3 linked regions of the Styela clava genome follow. The protein of the gene in region 1 purifies or fractionates together with the protein of each later gene. This does not show direct contact. Links are inferred from orthologs where the notes say so. Each region holds a gene or a part of one and is shown in the gene's direction. Other genes may lie near its edges.

Region 1 (6,386 bases):
AACGCGGCGAGTGGAAGATAAAAGAGAGAATACGATATACAATGAGCAACCGGGGCAAAATCGGCGTCGCCCCGTCGACGTTCGGCGAAGGCTTTGCGAGCGAAAAATGAACCATGTCGGGACAATATGGCTAGTGTAGACAGTCTGTGCAACCGATATTGAGGTATTTTTCGAATATTTTTTATTATACCGAAAAAACAACCGGGGCATTGCCCCGGTTGGCCCTATTGACGCGCCGCCACTGCAAATTGGTGTACTGTGCGCATTCACAAATCTTTGCGAATCAAGTGTGCCTTTTGACTAAAGAAAATTTAGCATTGAAATGGTCAATCTCAATATCAACCTAGTATCTGCATATAAAACCAATTATATATTTGGTACCATGAATACCATTTGCAAATTAGCTTGGGTTACACAACTCTCAAATAAAGGGGTAGGCCTACCAATATAGTTTGTCATCTGCTTTCCATTAAAATGAAGGAGTTTATAAATATACTTAAGGAAAATTGATAACGGCACATTATCACTCACTATCAACGAAGTCTGGAAGACTTGTCCGCAAACAGTGAAACACAAGCGAGATGACTTCTGGACTTGACACCAAGCAGTCCTGCCAATAGATGATATCCACATTGCGCGACGTTCCGGATCTTTTGAAAACAGTGGAATATAACTGAAGATCCATTTCGAAAAATACGAAATAACCATTTTCAACAGCCAGACAAAACGGAAACGTATAATCCGACTTGCAACTGACAGGAGCCAAATGGACTTTTTTTTTTTTTGCCGTCCAGTAAACAAAGTCACGTGACCCGTGCAAGTCCTCTATAAACCTGTACTTTATATTCAGATGGGAGTTTGTTAGTCTAAAAGTCATTCGAGGGGGCTTTGCCAGAAAAAGTTTGGAAACACTTGTCCGCAGTTTACATTGATATCGAACAATTCGGGGATTGGGGACTTGCAAATTTCATCCCAAGTTGCAAATTTTACGAGTATTGACACTTACAAATTGATTTACATTTAAAAAAATGTAAAAATTACTTTTGATAAAAAAACAACGTGGCACTTGCAGTTACTAATAGCTAATTTGAGTCTGTGGGTCTATCTCAGTTTTTCTGGGACTAATTTTTTATTTATTTTTCAACTGAACTACTCTCATCGGAAGACATAATGACAATTAGAAAACACTTTATTTACAACTATTTTTTGGAAACAACTGAAAGCTGACAAATAATACGCGAAGCCGCGATAACGAGACATTGTTTACAACCATGTTTGAATCCGGTATCTGTCTGGTGCAACGACTAACATACGGGTCTGGTGAGTGAGTGAAGTCAATTGTTACGTCGTTGTTGACTTTTTGCTAATCAGCATGGTCATTGTTACAAAACCAAAACAAGGAAATCGATGCTTGGTGAAACGTTATCATTCTCTTTAGTGAAACAGCCAAGCTATTTTTCTCGTTGTAACCAAAGTGACGATCGCGATATCAGAAAGATCGCTGGCTTTGATAAATTATGTACATAGTTTTAATATTTCTTTACTAATTAAATACCTAATATCTGACCCCAAAGTTGTTCCGTTTGTAATTAGGTTTGTGCGCCGCTCGGCTGATATACATCTGTAATTTTTCCGCGTTTCTTGTTTTTTTTACATAAATTCCTTAATATCATGGCTCGGCTTACAGGCAAGCTTACGTCTGTACCGGTGTGGGCATGTGTTGTCTAGAACAGAAGTGTGCAACCTTTAATACAGAAGAGCCAGATACTTAACAAAGACTTTCTAGTAGTTGTAGGCAAAAAACATGATTATGTCATTGCTATGGCTCCCTGAACAAATTCAGTGAGAAATTTGCAAGTGGTTTCTTTTCGGAATCCTTTTTTTAAATTTGCTTTGAGGGGCTAGAAGCTAGCAGTTCCAAGTTCGTTTTTCAAGTAGGCTACCGGTATTAGTCCGTCAGAACGGATCAATAGGTGGGTTTCATGACAACCAATTTAGAAAATAACTGTTCACACTAATCTGATGACTAATATCAGAATATGTTGAGTCAAATACTGAAATAGTGCCGTTTTCAAAGCCATGAGTTCTTTAAATGTCAGAAGTGCAGAATGTGGTAAGTTATATTGGTTGGGATGTTTTCAGTAAAAATCGCCAAGATTCATTTGGAAATATTTTCTGACTTTGCTGTCAAATCTGTCTAATTTTAGACTAGATTCAGACAAATTTGACTGAAATGCTGAAACCAAAACTCATTTGAATTTAACTCCTGTTGCCCGTTTTTACTAATTTATTAGAGTGTGCTCTGTACTTTACTTAAATTTCTTGCTTGCTCATCGCTGCATCGGGTGACACATTCGTGAATCTCATTGTTTGCTTCGCGCAAGCTAGCTGTTATTGTCTACCTGTATACAGTACCGGTTAGGGCATTGGCAATGCACAGTTGTACTGTCATAAGCATAGATATTAATATATGAACTTCATAGCATAACAAACCAGAACCAGATTAAACCAAATTAAAAATTCGCTCGATGGGCCGAACACCATTTGAAATTGGCACTTATTCGCAGACTGCATCATTTTTCCTTGTGGCCCGCAGAGTTTGCACACCCCTGGTCCAGTCTGGTGCACATTAGAAGCGCCATAACCTATAATAATTGATGAGCTTATTATCTTCGACGTAGATGCTATTTTGAGTGATCATAGCTACACTTTGATGGGCTATATGACGTGGCGTTTAGTGCAGTAGTGACTTATTTTTTTGGATGACATAGTCAGGTGTTGGTTAGGAATATTATATATGTGAAAATGGTTATGACAAGCCCACTAGAAGTACTTGTGGTATCAAACTACACTAGACCCTTATCTTATGCAAGACTTGTCAGTTATTTAAATTGGTCGATTTGATAATAGGATCGGCTACAAGCCCTAGTCCATTATCCAAGCCCATTATCTAGCATGCATGCATCACAGTACTGTTACTGTGTTATGTCTGTATGTTGTTTACACCAATATCAGAATATGGAGAGGCAGCTGGACATACTGAGGGGATGTTTATGTATCATTATAATGTATGTCCTTAAGTCTGTTGTGAAGTATTTCATACTTGATTCCAAAACCAAATGATTAGACTATTGAAATACTTGCTAAATTAGGTAGCTATATATGATATCGTTAATTTTAATAATTTCTGACAACTGTGGTAAACTAACTAAAACAATCTATCCCAACTCAATATCCATCAGCATATACAACACTTCGGCTGGATTTTTTTAAACACGACCCAATTTTAGTTGGTTAGCGGTTAGCGCATTGTTTCCCAAACTTTTTGAGCTGCGGACCCCTGTTTTAGAATCTAATTTTTGACGGACCCCCCATTCTATGCCGTATCAATTCCTGTGCCTAACCAACGAGGAATGGTAGCGTTTCATATACATCACAATAACACTAACGATAATAAAGTGTTGGATGAGATTGCTTCCGACTGCACAATTTATCAATTGTTTTAGCAATTTATGATAAGCACACGTAAGTCCGACTCGACAGCAAGTCTCTACCTGCATTTTGTCATCGAATTGGTTAAGATGAAAACGCTGCCTCAAACCTGTAGGTTTGTTCTCTAATTGCCCTTTCTGGCAGCAATTTCTTGCGCAACGTTCCAACAAAAATATGCAATGGCTTTAAATCAGTGGTTGAAGATTGATCAGACTCTTAATATAGTCGCGGATCCCCTGTGCAGTCATCATGAACCCCCAGCAGATCCCAGTTTGGGGAACCCTGGGTTAGTGGTTATGATTTATTTTGACCGTCCACTGACATCTCTGGTACAAATCACACTTATAGTGTACAATTTCTTTAAAATTGGTTAGTTTTTTGCAAATTATCTCCCATGGCATTTAATTCAAAAGAATATATAACTCAATTGGTGGGGAAAATAATTCAAGTGCAAGTGCTAACGTTCTGACTTGACTTGATGCTTGGTGAATTGTCAAAAGTCAGCCGAGATGCGCGGTAAGCTCCGAAATCCCCTTTTGAGTTCCACAACATATTTGGCTCGAATTTGTTGGTTGACTACCGAGGTATACATATGTATCCAAATTTTGGATAGATTTGCAATGACTTATAAATAATAAGACAAATAATAAGCCATTGCACAGGGGTATTTTGAGCCACTGGAATGTCTTATTTGACTTCCATTCCACAAATAAGGTTGAAAACCACTGTAGTAAGATGCTGGTATATGTAATGGCGAGCTTAGACCAGATTGTAGTGAGGTTGAAGAGAGTATTCTATGGGAGCTTCTGTGAAACCTCGCTACAACTACCAAAGTGCTCGTCACCTTGTTTTGATGCCGATGCTTAATCCTTTGCATATCCAAAAACACCAATAGTGATAGTGAACCAATAGTGATAGGTCAAACTCCATGTGATCTTTAGTATTATCTATGTGTTCCCTCAGTGATCCCCTTTCTGTTTACATTTTTCTTTTTACCTCTACAGAGCATCAATATAATATAACAATGGACTTATTTTAAACGCCTGCTTTACAAAAGCACTGTCAAAATGGGATTTGATCTGATGAGGTTCAGTGGTAGAGTTGATGAAGAGTTAATGTGTGTGATATGTGGTGGCGTTCTTGAAGATCCTGTGATGGTGGAAGAATGTGAGCATTGTTTCTGCAAATGTTGTATAGAGGCTTGGTTGCAGAGACAACAAACATGTCCTGTAGATCGTAGTCAACTGCAAACCCAACATTTGAAACCTGTTCCAAGGATAATGAGGAATATGTTAGGTCGACTGACTCTGATGTGTGAAAATAGAAAGTATGGTTGTGCCACAATCGTACGTCTTGATCAGTTATTGTCACATCAAACTGAATGTGATTTTAATCCAAAAAAACCTATACAATGTACTCGTGGTTGTGGCGTAGTTGTTCCAAAAGACGAAATGTCTGACCACAATTGTATCAGAGAATTGCGTTGTCTTGTCAACAAACAAAAAATTGAGATCAATGATCTAAATTTGCATAAGGTTGAAGCTAATAAGCAAATATCTGAACTGAAACATGAAGTATCTCTTTTAAAAGAGTACATTAAAGCCTTGAAAATACCAACTAATCCAAGCTTACAAATCATACAGCAACGAATGGAGCAAGATGATGTCATACGGTGGGGCAGTTCACTTACACTTGCGAGGGTCACCCGCTGGGGTGGGGTGATTTCTACTCCAGATGTAGTTTTACAAACAGTTATTAAACGAGCTCTAATTGATACTCAATGCCCATTACACATTGTTAATGATTTGATGGAAAATGCACATGAGAGGAGATGGCCTGTTGGCTTGAGCACTCTAGAAACTAGACAACTCCACCGTCGTCAATACGAGGATTATGTCACAAAAAGAATTCCGGGAAAGCAGGCTATTGTGATTTTGCAATGTGAAAATAATCATATGGGAGACGATATGATTTTACATCCAGGAATTGTTATTATTTTTGCCCATGGTGTTGTGGACGTAACGTAAATATATGTGTTATTATTATTTTTTTCATTGGTCTTGTAGCGTTTTTCGCAATCAATAGTATTTCCAAAACACAGCTTCATTATTATCGGAATGAATTTAGTTCATATTGCTTATTTTCCCAAACGACTCGTAGTTTTTCTGATCACAATAATGTTGTTTTTATCTTGGTTGCAGAGAGTTGCATCTGATCGTTTTGCATCCGTTACGACGCCGTGCCATAGTAATGACGATTAATGTTATTCATTTACTGATTGATTCGTGTTAGCTTTAATGTCTCGCTGACTTTGTTACTTCTAATTTTTGCATCGTTTTAGTCAGTGGTAAGAAAATATATCGATGTTGTTATATTATAGTGTGCGGTTACAAATTATGCAGGGGCGATGTGGACCAAAACAGGTATGTGTGGATGTGGAGTACTATATTTTGAACGGGTGGAGGCTAACTCGCCATGAGGGCTAACTCGCCATGGACCACTCGCCATGCGACGGCGGTTAACGGGTTAGCCTGCAACTGTGCGGAGGCTCTTCTTGTAATGGGAGATGGAAAGGTGGCTGTTTATACTAACAACTTCAATAGTAAAGATAAATATATTAAATTAAATGTGTTTGGTTACAATATCTACTGTGCAAATGGTAACAAAGTGACAAGAAAACGTGCTTATATGTCGGAAGGCACCGTACCGTACGGTACTCGACGCGCAAAGGATGTCTCAACTTATCATTTTCATCTAAGCATGCTAAATATATCATCATATTAATTGATTGTATGAGCACTGAATCAACAACAACGCTAAATATATCAAAAGTTCTATTTTGCTACCGGCAGTCTCATTTTATTCCAACAGCCGTTGATTGCGATCAGAGAGGG
Region 2 (6,958 bases), on another chromosome or scaffold:
TTGAACTACTGATTTAGGAATACGTTCTTCCAGGCGTTCCCATGCACTTGAAATTGATTTACAGTCACATATCATTGTTTGATAATCGTTTGGCATTGCACCATTGCGTAAAAGCCATGAAATTTGCACTAAATCATCCGTAATTCTAGCATGGTGCATTATATGTGTAAAACGTTCTTTCCAGGTATAAAAGTCTACTTTTTGTCCGTTCCAGCATGGCGGATCCATACCACATAACTTAATCATATGAGGATCATTATTATAATTGTTTTGAGTGATTACAAGAGATGATATCACCGGCTTTATATCTAGTTTGTCTTCATATTTCTCAAAATCGATTGCAATCTTGTTTTCCACACTTAAAATTTCTTCACTAAATTTGGATATACCGGGTTTTTCCTCACTTTGTGTAGTACTGTCTTCTTCAATTAGAGCCAATTCCAAAGTATCAATTAGACAGACCAAAAATGCTATTTTATCGTTAGCATCATGAAACAGTATTTTGACCTTTTTAAAATCTCTTCTTTCCAGAGAGTGCTCAATGGTGTTAAAATTCTTTCCAATTTTACTTTGAGTACCGGAAACTTACTCTTGAGTTATTTGAAATTCTGACCTTGAAAATATTCTGCCATTGTTAGTTGGCATTCTTGCTTTGATGTATTGCTGAATCCTCGGAAGGTTGAAAAAGAACTGCTTGATTCAGACTCCAGTTTGTAGGTGTAGGTGCAATATCTTTAAATGTCACTAGTTTGGATTTCTGCCCATTGACAAATCACCCTTGCCTACTATGTTTCTTTAACTAATATCCCGAAATGAAACGAATATATTTCTCCCAAAGTGATTTAATCCAGATATCAGTAAGACAAAGTGACCTGACAAACAAAGATTTATATTAAAATGAGTACAGGCAACCCGGCACAATACAAAGCAAGAATATACCAATTCACTTACATTTAAATGAGGCTTTGTCAGAACAGATTATCCCAATGTAAGAAACTTAAGAAATAGATTATTCATACCCAATGACTATAGTACCATTAACAAGCTTTTGAGAATAAATCTAAAGACAGACTAAAGCCCTAAACAGTTAACCATAACAAGAAGTAATCAATTAATCAGCCAATAATCGCGATGCAGTGAACCATACGTTAACACACCAAAAGTAAGTAGTACCAAGATAAATCAGTCAAATGTTCAAACCATACGTCAACGAGTGTTTTTTTTTCATATTCTTTTGGGAAAAGCACTGTTGTGATACACATACCATAGCCATGCATTCCAACCTGTCAAAGTGTATTTATTAGTTAGGGCCCACCGAGTGTTTATGTTACACTAGTTTGGCGCCCGAACGATAGCGTTTTATGTTTTTGTCTTTTTTTTTTTTTTGACACTTTTGTGTACATAACGATCGTTTTAATATTATGTTGTTGTTCTTATTTGTAGTTTTCTTTTCTTTCGTCATGATGAAATCGCTTTTCTCTTCGAATACAGGACCAATTGCATTGAAATTTTCAGTGGTTAAAGATTGATTTTTTTGTCGGAAGGCTATCACTTTTACTTAATTCAAAAATTTCTGCGGACTTCAAGAGATTTGTTTTTTATGTGTCAGAATAAAAAAAGCGACACCTTGTGACATGTCCATATTTTTGAGCACAGCTCTCTTCTTTTGAATATATGTTCGTGTGTTCAATGTGGGTAAACTGGCGCATGTATATTTACCCCAGATTTCACCCCAGAACGTGACGACTGGCGTTTGCGATCGCGGCCTAATAGGAACCCCGAATAAATACTAATACTGCAAATATTTAAAACGCACTGTGTTTTGAATCATCTTTGAGATTTTTAAAATTAGTAACTGCCAATTTATTTAACCCAAACACAGCTAACCACGATGAGACGCTATTAGGCCGCGAGACGAGGCCGTTTATCTTTCAGTTTCGTAGCGCACATAAGGAACTTCCTGAAAAAGATTTTAAAATGTTCCTTAGAAATTTAGTAACAAATAATGACTTCCCATTTCCAAGAGTTGCACGTTTTACGGAAAAGACGCTTTTACTTCAATAAATATGTGTTACCATCTGTCATATACGGTATTCTCTGCTTTTCTGGTATCATGGGCCAATGAACGCAGACTTCTGCATGACGTAACAATTAAAATTGGTCAGCTGTAGGTGGATCCCCGTCGGATAAATATCAGATGTGCTGCTCGCTGTTGAGTTGGGCAGCCTTTCCATTGTTATTTCCAGTTAATATTAGTTGAGTTATTCTAAGAAGATGTTAAAAAGTCTAATAAGCTATTAAACATTTGTATAGGCCTATCCTTACCATAAATAGCAATTTTAGTTGAGCACTAGCTCATAAACGTTGTTAAATAGGTACGGTACGATAACTCCCAAGATAAGCTATGCCTACAATATGTCACAAACAACGATATTTTCATGCTTGTATGAAAGGTTTATGATAAATTTAATAACGTTTCTTGACTATTCAGCAGACTTATACTACTATATAGGCTACGGAATATTTGATTCAGAAAATAATGGCTGTTTCTGTAGTGTACGTTTGTGTGAAAGAGGTGTAATAATCAATTCTACTGATGTCAGTTGGTCTAAATCCACAGAGTCGACAAGAACCTGGGATTGGGAAGTAATGATAAGTTATGCCGGAGAAAGAAAGGTAGCATTGGAAGCGAATGAGAGGTGAGAAATCAAATTATAGACCGACAATTGATGTTTTAAAATATAATCTACTCTATAGGCCATAGGGCATTTCAGACTGTGATATATCGAGATTCAGTGTAGATATAGTCCAGTATGCAAACGCTGCTGGACTGTAGTACATCAGATAAAATGCACTATGTATGAGAAGTATTAGTCAGTATTTATTGGTATTTTACACTCATGCTGTTCCAAAAATGATTTTCTTCCCTATTTTAGATACTTTACTACAAAAGAAAACGGCAATGTTCCCCGGCAAATGTCTAATCCCTGCTTCTATTAGCGCTATAGGCCTACCTGTGAGAATAAAATGGATCGAACAAAAGGTCTTGAAGAAAAGCGTAAAGGTATATGAGAAGATAACAGTTGCAAATAACTTTGTTACAGACGAAGTTTCTTTGTTTTACTTCATATATATTTGACCCGGGGTTATCTCGAGATATATCGGTCATTGCACTTTGTCGAATGACCGTTTATGAAACAAGAGAGCTATGCTCAAATATATGGACACGTGGAGTCACATAATTTTGATGACGTCATAGCGAGAAAAAAAAAGTAATAGCCTTCTGGAGAAAATTTTTATCTTCAACCACTGAAAATTTCAAAGCAATTGGTCCAGTATTCGAGGAAAAAAGCGACTTTTTAAAAACGTGTCAAAAAACAAGAACAACAACAACAACATAATATTGAAACGATCGTTATGTCCACTACGTGTCCAATTACTCCTTTCAAGGCGATTTCACCATCTGTTCGTGGGCAGGAATGGGCATGTCGGCGTAAACTAAGTCTGTTATCGGCCTTTTCTTTTTCTCTCGTTTTTGTTCGTTTATTATTTCGAATCATTGCCAGTCAGTCGGCTGTTTACAATTTATTCCGTATTAGGAGTTTGCCGTTTAAGTAGTGCTAATTTATTTGCCACAATGAGCGGATTTGGCGCGGCGGTGTGGCTTAACGGGCTAAGCGTTAGGATTACGCTCGCCACCGCACCTCTAATTACTCTGTGTGGGTTAGCAGGTTCGAATCCCATGCAGGGATTGCTGGACTCCTCGCCGTCGTTGGGTGGTTCACGTAACCGCTGCTCGGTTACGGCTTCTTCCACCACCGAGTCCATGCTTCCGAAAACAAACAATATAACAAATCCCATACCCGATTTGGAATGGTAACCGGACCATTGAGTTTTTCAATTCATTTATCCAAGATTTTGTTTACTTTCCTGATTTCATAATCAGTTTTTATTTATTTGTTTTTATCTACCGTTTCATCGCCTTTATCCTGATTATGGAGTCGAAATAAACTTATCCTATCATATATTTTTTCAACTATGACGATATTTTGAGATTAACGAAGCATTAATAAATAAAACTGAGGAATTTGTTTGTTCAGTGTATGGAGAGGATATAAAAAATGTAAATGATACACGTCTTTTCAAAACTAGCAAACATATAGAATATAGATTATACTCTTCCACCCAGCAATGATTCAGTGAAGAAGCATGTTCTGGGGGCAAATTACCAGGCAAGACTTCATCAAGGTTGCCTAGAACCAAGGCCACTCATTCTCCCACCTAGTTATTGGCCATGGATGGGTTCTTGATGGTTGTGTTTTGTGGGTTAAATTGATGGATCAACTTCCAGTCCCCAAATCAGTTCTTGGGTTGGGCAAAGTGTGAAAAAAATAGGCGTCAAAATAATTTATGCACGTGTGCTAAAAACAACTCTCTAAATTTCATAATCAATTTTTATTTATTTGTTTTTATCAACCGTTTATGCTGATTATGGAGTCGAAATAAACTTATCTATCTTATTTTTATCTAAATTGCACAGATTTTTGTATCGACTGCAAAAACCACAGTATATTAAATCGTAGTTCCTGCGATTACCGTATATGCTCGTTTTACCGCCCGATCTTGATTAAGGGCCCTTTTGAAAAGCCACCCGTGTGAACAGAACATAAAAATAAATAAGGGCGGGTGCTTGAAGGGCCGAAGCTGAATTTTCAGTAGTAGAGAACAATAGGAAATAAGAAGCGCTTTTGTCTCAACACTGTTGGATTTTAAGCGCCGGTAGATAACACTCACGCCTTAGGCGTCCAAGTACATAACAGATAGCATTGGTTACGTAACACTATGGTTCTCAAACTGGGCGTCGCGACAAGTGCGTCGTTTCAATATTGATAGGGCGTGGCAAAACTTTTCTTCTTTTGCGGATTTGTACCTGCGGTGCGTAGAAAAAGTCAAAATTTTCGTTATTCTTGTTTAAATCATACTTGAAAACTGGAAATAATAATATATTAGTTATTTGTAACGATCGAAAATAACAAGCGCCCGTGCTTGAATGAGGGCCCGGTTAGTGAGTTGGTTGAAACATATGGGCACGGGGTACAAAATGAGCAAATACGGTATATTGACCGAAAGAGCGATCAGGGAATTCCCCGTACATCGCACGTGTGTTTGACTACATTGTACGCTTTCGCACTTGCGCGGGTTGTAACTGTCCCAACTCGTAATATATATTTTGACTGTATGTATATAATCGTAGGGAAATGGAGGCTCGCCTAAATGAACTGAAACTAGACCTGGAGGATGTTATCCGGCTTCAGTCTATCGCACAGAGAGAGACAATAAAAGGAAAACTTGCAATATGGAAATCCGAAATGGAACAAGAACTGGAAAAAATAATGAAGCAGGGTAGCAATACCGAAGACGTCCAACGACAATCTAATTCATCCACAAAACCTAAGCTTTTCACCAAGAAGATCACTACTTATGGTTGGGATCAATCAGAAAAGTTCATAAAAATTTACGTATCTGGATTGAAGGGAGTACAGGATATACCAAAAGAAAATGTGACCATAATTTACGACGGCCATCATCATATGCTTATGATAAAAAATTTAAACAATGCAAATCATCAACTCACTTTGCCGAAATTGCTCCACGGTGTTGAAAATGAAAGTGTCAGAATAAAGAAGGATGAAGTTGTGATAATGTTAAAAAAGACTAATCCCACAAAATGGGATACTTTGTCAGAAAAAGAGAAAAAAGAAATAGAGGAAAAAGTAAAACCACCATCAAGTTTTGATAAAGACCAAGATCCAGGAAAAGGAATTATGGATATGATGAAAAAAATGTACGACGAAGGAGACGATGACTTCAAACGAACAATGGCGAAGGCTTGGACAGAATCAAGAGATAACCAAATTCCAGGGTTTGGAAAGTGAACATATTGTTGATTTTAAAAATTTTCTTGATAGATTGTCTTGAAATAGCCCGAGAAATTCACTAGGATAACGCATTTGTGTACTGTTTCATTTGTCACGACTAATTTTCATACATTCAGTGATTAGATTTTAATATCGTAACAAATAGGCATTTGACATAGATATTGTGGATATTCTATATAATAATTATGTTTCAAATATATGGAAATTCAACTTGTATATTTGGCTGTAACTATTGTTTATTTATTGTGCTATAATACTGATTGATATTTACTGATACCTTGGCATCTTTTGGCGTTTTTGTTGTTCTGTTATTTGCATGCAAATAGGTTGATGTGGCCCTGGCTTAGGTTCGAGGATAACTTTTGGCTATATGTTGCTTGAAAATACATTTTTGCGTTCCCTTAATTTTAATTTCCACCATTTGTGTTCATGTTATACAGTACAAATACCACTTGAATTACCCACTATCATTCTCATTGAGTTTCTTAATTTTGAATTTTATTAGGTACTCAGAGTTGTTGATAACTAGAATTGTATAAAATGTCGAATTCAATTCGGAATATACTTCCTTTGCTGAGTGCTGTATCAGATTTGTCAGTGGAAAAAATCACATTGGACCTTTCAGATAGTTTGAATAGATTATTGAAACAAGACCAATTCAGATTTGAGGAGAAATATTTGGAGAAACTGCAAGTTTTAACTGCATTATTGGAATATAATTACAAGGATAACGCAGAAGCCGATCCAGCCTATGATCACCTTCGCTTACAACAGAATACTCTATTTGATTTGTGGAAAACTGCAATAGAAAAATATACACAAGATGGAATGGATACATCTGAATGTCTAGAACATTTTTTTATCATATGTGTGCAAATATTTAATGAAGAATATCAAAAAAGATGCTGCACCATCTTAGAAAACATCTTCGCTACTGCTGTGGAGGAAAAAGAATCAAACTTCAAAACGAAAAACATTTTCAGTATTTTTGAAGGCTTACTTACGAATAATGAAATTAT
Region 3 (7,968 bases), on another chromosome or scaffold:
CGCGTATTAATTTGAATTTATACTACAGTATAGGAAGACGTGCACTTGTGATATTCACTGTCCGAGTCCAATTCACCTTGGTTGGCTTTTATATTGGGTGGATTGCTGTTTTATTCTTTATATTTAATCTTAGTCTTATTTCGGTGGGTGTGTAGAACGTGTTATATTGATAAAATATATATTTTTAAACATAAAAAATAATGTAATTAAATATGATTAGCTATTTTGGGGATTAGACATTGTAGATACTCAGAATTACATTCAATTTTGGAATGTTTAGTTTTCAGGACTGGTGCATATAGAAAAGTTGCACAATTGCGTACGTCCCCAAGTCATAGACACATTTCTGCCTAAGTCACAGTGCGCCATTATGACGTCACTTAAATGCGTCATACAAATTACCTTAAATCCGGCTACGATCAAAAAATTGAACCATGGCAAATTATTGACTCTCAATGGCATAACAATATCATTAGGAAGTTTTTTACGTTTTTCTCAAAACTGCTAAAAATGACTTACGCGATTCGGTTATTAGCGTGACGATATGCACTCTTCATCACACAATTTGAAATGTAGTGAACCAAATTTTGCATCTATGTGTTATCCGCTGTTGAAGTCATATTTCGTCAAATTCAACGGCGCTCCAGTGTGTGTACCAATATCCAGACTTGAATATCGGTCGGAGACCGAATCCTTATCGATCATCCGCAAAAAAAAACTAATTGATTAATTAATAACTCGCTAATTATAAGGAGAAACAAAAATTATTAATTAAATATTTTATAACTCGCTAATTATACAACATAAGTAATCCAAAATCAATAGGAATCTGGTCCAAGATATGATAAATGCACATGCAAAATTTGGAGCAGATTCAACCTTCTTTCGTGAGATATTGCGTGACATACGAAAGTGTCTAACATGCAGACAAATACCTATCAACATACTTACCGATCAAGATCGATAAGTAATACCTATACCTAATTTTGTTTGTCTACTTTACATCAAGTTGTGTAAAGGGACGGAAGCCTATGGGCAGAGGGTATACTTGCTTGGCTAACACAGACAGTCCCGAACTCGTAATTGAATTGAGAACGGAATAAAATTATTATCCTAACCTTGTACACAAACTACGGGGTTACTAATTTTACATAGATGGCAAACATGGATTTTCACAATTTTCAAACTACAACAACATGTCTTTCCGATCAAGAAGGAATAAATTTTATTATTAAAAAATACAATAGTAAATATGTAGTACATCATACCATTAGGGTTGTTTGGAACACAAATTTGCATTAATATGCAATCCGTTACTGGAAAATCCCAACTTGGCAAAATCTTCAACCTATGCTACTTGGTTGATGCCAAATTCGGGTCTCAGAATAGACCACTTGTAAATTTGAACATTTCAAAATTTCCCCCGAATCAAGAATCTAACATTCGTAACAATTCCAAATTTATATGATAAAAGCTCATTCGATTCATCAATAAGATTCATTCTATCTTATTTGCAAACTGACCGTGTTAAGTCTGGTTCACAATTTCTAAAGTTATAAAACACCTCCAAAAAGTGTTGAAATTGGTGTGGCGATGCTCGTTTGAAGATACTCCCGCAGACATTAAATATTACACGCTGTAAATTGCGCGTACGATGCATCTCTCTACAGTCTTTCACGCCAATACGGAGCAAATCAATGTCAAGTGGGTCGTCTACAGAAATTTCTGTGGTTCTCCCTGACTAATACGGACAGTTCAACTTGGGAAGGAATACGTAATTTAACGATAACCCAAATTGATCTCTGTCATCTCGATATAGATGAGGGGTTCTCAACCTTTTTTTCTGTCAAGTACCCCCCCCCCCCCTTTTTGACCATATGTAACTAAATTGAATCCTCTTGTTGATATTATTGCCCTTTTCGTCTGCCTCACTTATGAGTTCTTGAAACCTCTCCCAAGTTACAATAAGCATAATCACCTGTCCAATGCTCGCAGCACGCTGTCTTTAGAGATTTCACAGTTTGTACACAAAGCCTTAAATTTCACATTGTTGCGTCATAATCACAACAACGCAAAATCAGGGCAAATCTACGTTTCAATTGGCGTCTAGTTTCAATGGGCACGAGTTTTCCCATAGTAGTAATGAAGGATATTAAAAAACAGCAACATACAAAAACTCGACTGTCATCCACGTACCCCCGTAAATCTTCTCGTGAACCCCTGGGGGTTCGCGAAACCCAGGTTGAAAACCCTCTGATATAGATACTGTCAAATTCGAAAATAAAAAAAACAAAAACATTTTTTATGAAAAAATATTTATTTCTTTCCACAAAACAAAATAGACAACATTGCATATTTCAACAATCAAAACTAATTTGTATAAAAAAATAGTTTTCCTATAAAATTTGTCTGAATATTCTACCGAGCTTTCAAGTGGACCCAAGAGATGTCGGTTAACCCACTCGTTAGGACTTGTAGATGGGGTCCTATCGCGCTCCAGAAAAGTCTGAAACGCCCTATACCCATTCTTTAGAGCCAAACAAATACAACTATTTCAGGGAATTTGGCATGTTACATGTGAAAATCCTGTTTAATTGCTCAGACCGATATTAACAATTGATAAAGACTCGATTTAGCGCAGAACTGGCCCAAACTGAAGTTGCGACACCGCAGGTGAGACGCAGCAACGAAGTTTTTGGGTTGCACAGAATACTCGAATTTTACACACAGAGTACTACCGGAATATCTAATGTAAATTTTATACTTTTGATTCAAAACACAACTATTAAAACTAATGAAACGTATAAATTCCACTGTTTTAAAACATTGCATAGAATCAGAGAAGCGCTGGGCTTGGATCGAACTGTAAAAGTTTTGGAAGCCAAGATTTAGCCAACTTTTAAATCAGTGATTCGTAATCTTTTCGAGCCATCAGAAAACCCTTTTATTACTCAGAGAATTTTGTCAAACATCAAAGTTTTGAACGGTTGAAACCAGAGGTGCAACCAGAACCTCGTAGGGGGAGTGAATTTTGTGCAAGGTATAGAACAGGGGTGGGTACCTTTTTCGGCTTGCGTGCCAAAATCGGCTAAATTTTTTTACAAATTTTTTTGCGTGCCGACAAAAATTAAAAACAATGCTTTGCTACTTCAAAGCAAAAATACACAATAATAACCCTTTTAAACATGTACAGACAGATTCGCTATTCGGAAAAATATCAGTCCGACAAATACATGTGATTACTTTTCTTATTCTATATATATCAGTCAGACTTCTACTGCTGCATTACCGCTGATAGAAATTGGACATTGGGTTTATATTTTGTAACTTTCAAAGAAATACACGACATACTGGTTTCATGTTTTAGGCTACTTCTTTTACGAGACTAAATAAAGTTCATATCTGAGAACAGAGATCCACAATGTAGAATAAAACACGGACAGTAATTTATTTTAAAGTTTTTCCCTACGGTGGGATTTTTTTATTTTTTGATATTTGTAAGATAATTTACTATATATTATAATACATTAATTTTATGGTGAACAAGTTATTAGAATATTGCATTTCGACGTAAAAAACCGTTGTCGGGAAATACGGATATCGTTGGACATAGGTAGATTCCGGTTTTATTTAAAAGTCTTTTCCTACGGTTGAATTTTTTTATTTTTCAATATTTGTAAAATAATTCACTATATATTATAATACATTTATTTTATGGTGAACAAATTCTTAGACATCAAACACCGTTGTCGGGAAATACGGATATCGTTAGACATATGTAGGATTCCGGTTTTATTATAAACTCTTTCCCTACGGTAAAATTATTTTATTTTCTGATATTTGTAAGATAATTTACTATATAATATAATACATTAATTTTATGGTAAACAAATCATTAGAATATTTTCAATTGAATGTTGTATTTCGACACAAAACACCGTTGTCGGGAAATATGGATATCGTTAGACATAGGTAGATTCTGGTTTCGTTTTAAAGTCTTTCCCTACGGTAGAATTTTTTCATTTTTTGATAATTTTTAGAAGAAGAACTATGTAATATGATTATTCAATTTAACATCATTACCGCGAAATATTGATATCGGTCGAGTGTGCTAATTTTGACTTTAAATTGAAAGTCCCTCTCTACGGTAGAATTTTTTAAAATTTATATAATCATATACTGTATAATATGATCATTTAATTCCGTGATAAACAACTCGTTGAATTCTTTTTGATAAACTGTTGAATTTCAACATCAGAAGCCATCGAGATACAATGTGTGTATCTGCTGGTGTAATGCTTTCTGCTGGTGTAATGCTTTTATAATGTTTATTTTTTTATTTTACAAGATGTATTTGTGCAAATCAGGTATGGTTTATTCATAACAACATTTTTATTCATAAAAAGAACAAGCACTTAGCTTAGTTTTTAATTTTCTTGTTTTTTTATATCCGACGGTAAATTTCAGCTTGTTTACCGTCATATCTGGCAACTCTGGTTAGAGATATTATTGTTCGTTCAGTTGATTTTGATTCATTTTCCCGGCAATTGTAGCCATTTTGTGCTATCAGTTGGCCGACTCTGAGAGGTTCTGGTGCTGATTTAAATGTGGATATGTGTAATTTAGTACCGTAATCTGTGAGCGTTTAGGATGCCTTAACTTGCCGTATAACACTGTCAGAACGCCAGCCCACACTCGTTTTTGTCAGGCCATAAGGGTTAACTGGGCCGTGCTTGGTATTACAGTATTAGCGTTGTATATATCAGATACCGGTATGGTCTCTTTATTGTCAGAGCCAAGTTTTTATGTAATAACGTTTATAAAGCCAGTAAAATAGTTAGTTGACCCGTTGATAATTTCTTTGAAACATTTCATTATTTCGCTCTTTTTGCTTCTAAAAATTGAGCTTCGGCAATTTATATTTCAGTATTTGCTCGTAGTTTTTACTCCTTATTTTGAATTGCATTTAGGTTATGCTATTATTCAGTAACAGTTCAGTTTAACATTAATTCTTCATCGGATCTGCTGGTCAACCCACCACTATGTCCATGCGTCGTGGATGGCTGGGGGCACCGAAACCTCCAAAGAATCCGCACTCTTTGGAACACCTTAAGTATGATTTTTAAAAACCTTGTAGTTTCATTGTTTGCGTATGTTTCACCGAAAAAAAAACAAAAAATGTTCTTATGCTCTAACTGCAGAACTGCCTGATGTAAGTTATCTAACATAGCTACCGTCCTACTGTAGCATATTTCTAACCCTTAGCATAATGCACCACAATGTACAAACGTATGTCTGAATGTGTCTTTTTTGGCCTATTGCGGCCATCATCATTATTTAAACAAACTCTTTAAACAAAATTAGAAATGCTTAAAACTGTGTCCTTAATTCATGGTAATCAAATGATGAATTGTAAATTGATGTTATGAAAAACTTCGTTCAAGATCTCTCACTAAAAAAGTAATTGTAAGGACAGAGTTTTGCTCAAGTGACGGCCAACGCAATTTACGATGGATCATATTATTTAGACAAACATGTTTATATTGCTCACCATTATGCGTCGAATAAACTTACATACATACAAGTTTACTCATATGCCGTCATGCCAGACACACTCATTACCAAATGTGTTTGTTTTATATATCTAAATATTGGGACATTCTTGGTATTTAGATCTGTACCACCGTGTTTCCCCGAAAATAAGACTAGAGCTCGACCGATATCACTTTTTGGCACCGATACCGATAACGATATATCGGCCAACTGGTGACCGATAACCGATATGGACATACCGATATCTACAACCTGAACTAGCAGTAAATACAAATAGAAAGAAACATTTCGTTTCAGTCAATTAAAAGTTTATGTTGAAAAATAAAGCAGTCCTACACAGTGCTTGCATCATTAATAAAAGTTTCACAGCAAATAAGAACACACATTAATGCACACCAGAAAAAAGGCAGTCAGTAAAAAGCTTATAGAAGTCCATTTTGATCCATACAGTAGTAGGTGGGAGTAGGCTTGCACGTAATTTACGGAATTATTTCGAGTTACGGAAGGGAAGTTACAAATTACGTAAAGTCGTAATTATTGGTCGAGCGCTTTCGCGTTTGAAACGTGCTCCTTACAAGCAATCAATTCCGTCGATTGTAAAAAATGAAAGTTTAACAAGTAGAAGAAATTAGAGTTCCGGTATTCGCAGCCGTTTTGAGCCGGCATGACGCGTTGCCACCCCGTTTGAGCGTTTGATTTCACGGTCAAAACGATATTATTATAAGCGTTATCACCGTAACGCAATTAATACCGACAGACTTTTTTGTCTTTATGATTTGGTATCTTTTTTATTTGGCGCTGATATTGAAAAATAAGAATGTGTGATAGTTGATTGTAATTCCGGAAGGCGTATTTTTCTTTCTCTCCTTGAAACAGACATGAGACGAATTTTACCGCCGCTATAAGCGCTCAAAAGGAGAGAAGGCTAGGCTACTTTCTTTTCCCGACTCAATCACTTTTATTAATACAAATCACAGCGCATTAAAAAACAAAATAGAATTTATTAGCATTAATTTACAACGAGTTGCGGGTAAGAATTTATCGCCGGCTAAATAATTAATATTTGATCTAAATTTATCGCAAATAATCTTAAAACATTTAGGCCGCGAAATGATTTGATATAAAATGAAGCTTGGTAATCGGAATATCGTCAATAATTCAGCATCAATAATTATTTTAAAATGCTAACTAGGTAGCAAAGTCGGATAATGTAAAAAAAAGGAGCAATAACAAGTCTTCGTCGCGAGGCAGGCGCAGGTATAATCAAATGAGAGAATACGCTTGTCGTTGATTAATATCCTAAAAACCCGAAATTTTTATTCAATACGAAAGTCGATTTTGAAGAAAGGCCACTATCGTTTCATATATATCCGTATACCAGTTTCGGTAAATACGGTAATGATAAAATTGATCGCATGAAATTGGGACGGTTAATTTGCGAAGGTGATAAAGGAAAATCAAAGCCAACACAATAAAACAAGATAAAAATCAGAATAAATTTAATTTGAATTCACTCCTTGGTATTTGTCTTTAACATCTGTCGCCGGCGTGTAGTACTGTCGGTAATATGAAAACCAAACTTCAATGTCCCATTCGGAAAAGAAGTGGATTCAAATGGTTTTTATGATAGGTTTAAACGTGTGAAAAATATCGCAATTACGGGGTCATTACGTAATCGATTTTGCCGTAATTACGGAATTGATTTTTGTCGATTACGTGCAAGCCTAGACTGGGGACGCAAGATATTCGAAGGCGAGGATTTTGCGCCGCTCGAAGAGATAAAAGAGAGAGAAATATAGAAGAGAACTCTCTGTTTATTGAAAGGCAAAATGAGAGAAGCGAAAAAGAGAAAACGCTCGGCCGCAGATATTTCCCGGAGAAAAATACTCATTTTTTAGGACGTGGAAAAGCGACTAGCGCTGATATATATCGGCAAGATATATCGGCCGAGTGGGCCGATATGATATATCGGCAAACACGCAATATCGGCCCGATATATCGGTTGGCCGATATATCGGTCGAGCTCTAAATAAGACCTACCCTTAATTTCAAAAATGATTTTAATATAACTCCGCTCCTTCAAATAAGACTTAAAATTGTTTCATTCTCGGGGAAACACGGTATATTATATAAGTGAATCAGCCAATTTGTGTCTTGAATATAAAATCAAAAGATGGAAGTTTTTTTTCACTTTCAGATATCTTCATCATATTTTGACGAAGAATTCCACTGTTACTGAAGGCAACAAGGCACTTATTGTCGAAGCATTACGTTCAATGTCCGAAATATTAATTTGGGGAGATCAAAATGATAGTTCTGTTTTTGAGTAAGTTTTTTGTTTCAGAAATTTGTAATAAGGGAATCAATTGCAGCAAATGCAACTGAGTTATTTTTTCGCATTTGTGCTGAACGTGT

Evidence for each region. The genes of interacting proteins can lie anywhere in the genome.
Region 2: the proteins of E3 ubiquitin-protein ligase NRDP1-like (region 1) and calcyclin-binding protein-like purify together in Homo sapiens (affinity purification with mass spectrometry; 4 studies listed by BioGRID and IntAct, with this or other methods). This does not show direct contact. The link is inferred for Styela clava from reciprocal best matches to the Homo sapiens genes RNF41 and CACYBP.
Region 3: the proteins of E3 ubiquitin-protein ligase NRDP1-like (region 1) and protein CLEC16A-like purify together in Homo sapiens (affinity purification with mass spectrometry; 3 studies listed by BioGRID and IntAct, with this or other methods). This does not show direct contact. The link is inferred for Styela clava from reciprocal best matches to the Homo sapiens genes RNF41 and CLEC16A.

The regions. Positions count from the first base shown.
Region 1 is NC_135254.1:24,427,172-24,433,557, reverse strand, and holds E3 ubiquitin-protein ligase NRDP1-like, read left to right. Parts: upstream 1-4,478; 5' UTR 4,479-4,559; coding exon 4,560-5,519; 3' UTR 5,520-5,869; downstream 5,870-6,386. UniProt on the Homo sapiens protein: Acts as E3 ubiquitin-protein ligase and regulates the degradation of target proteins. Polyubiquitinates MYD88. Negatively regulates MYD88-dependent production of pro-inflammatory cytokines.
Region 2 is NC_135253.1:9,314,036-9,320,993, forward strand, and holds calcyclin-binding protein-like, read left to right. Parts: upstream 1-4,673; 5' UTR 4,674-5,258; coding exon 5,259-5,936; 3' UTR 5,937-6,444; downstream 6,445-6,958. Other genes in the region: tRNA (guanosine(18)-2'-O)-methyltransferase TARBP1-like, read left to right, coding at 6,480-6,958. UniProt on the Homo sapiens protein: May be involved in calcium-dependent ubiquitination and subsequent proteasomal degradation of target proteins. Probably serves as a molecular bridge in ubiquitin E3 complexes. Participates in the ubiquitin-mediated degradation of beta-catenin (CTNNB1).
Region 3 is NC_135262.1:3,769,926-3,777,893, forward strand, and holds the start of protein CLEC16A-like, read left to right. Parts: upstream 1-4,954; 5' UTR 4,955-5,042; coding exon 5,043-5,113; intron 5,114-7,750; coding exon 7,751-7,879; intron 7,880-7,968. UniProt on the Homo sapiens protein: Regulator of mitophagy through the upstream regulation of the RNF41/NRDP1-PRKN pathway. Mitophagy is a selective form of autophagy necessary for mitochondrial quality control.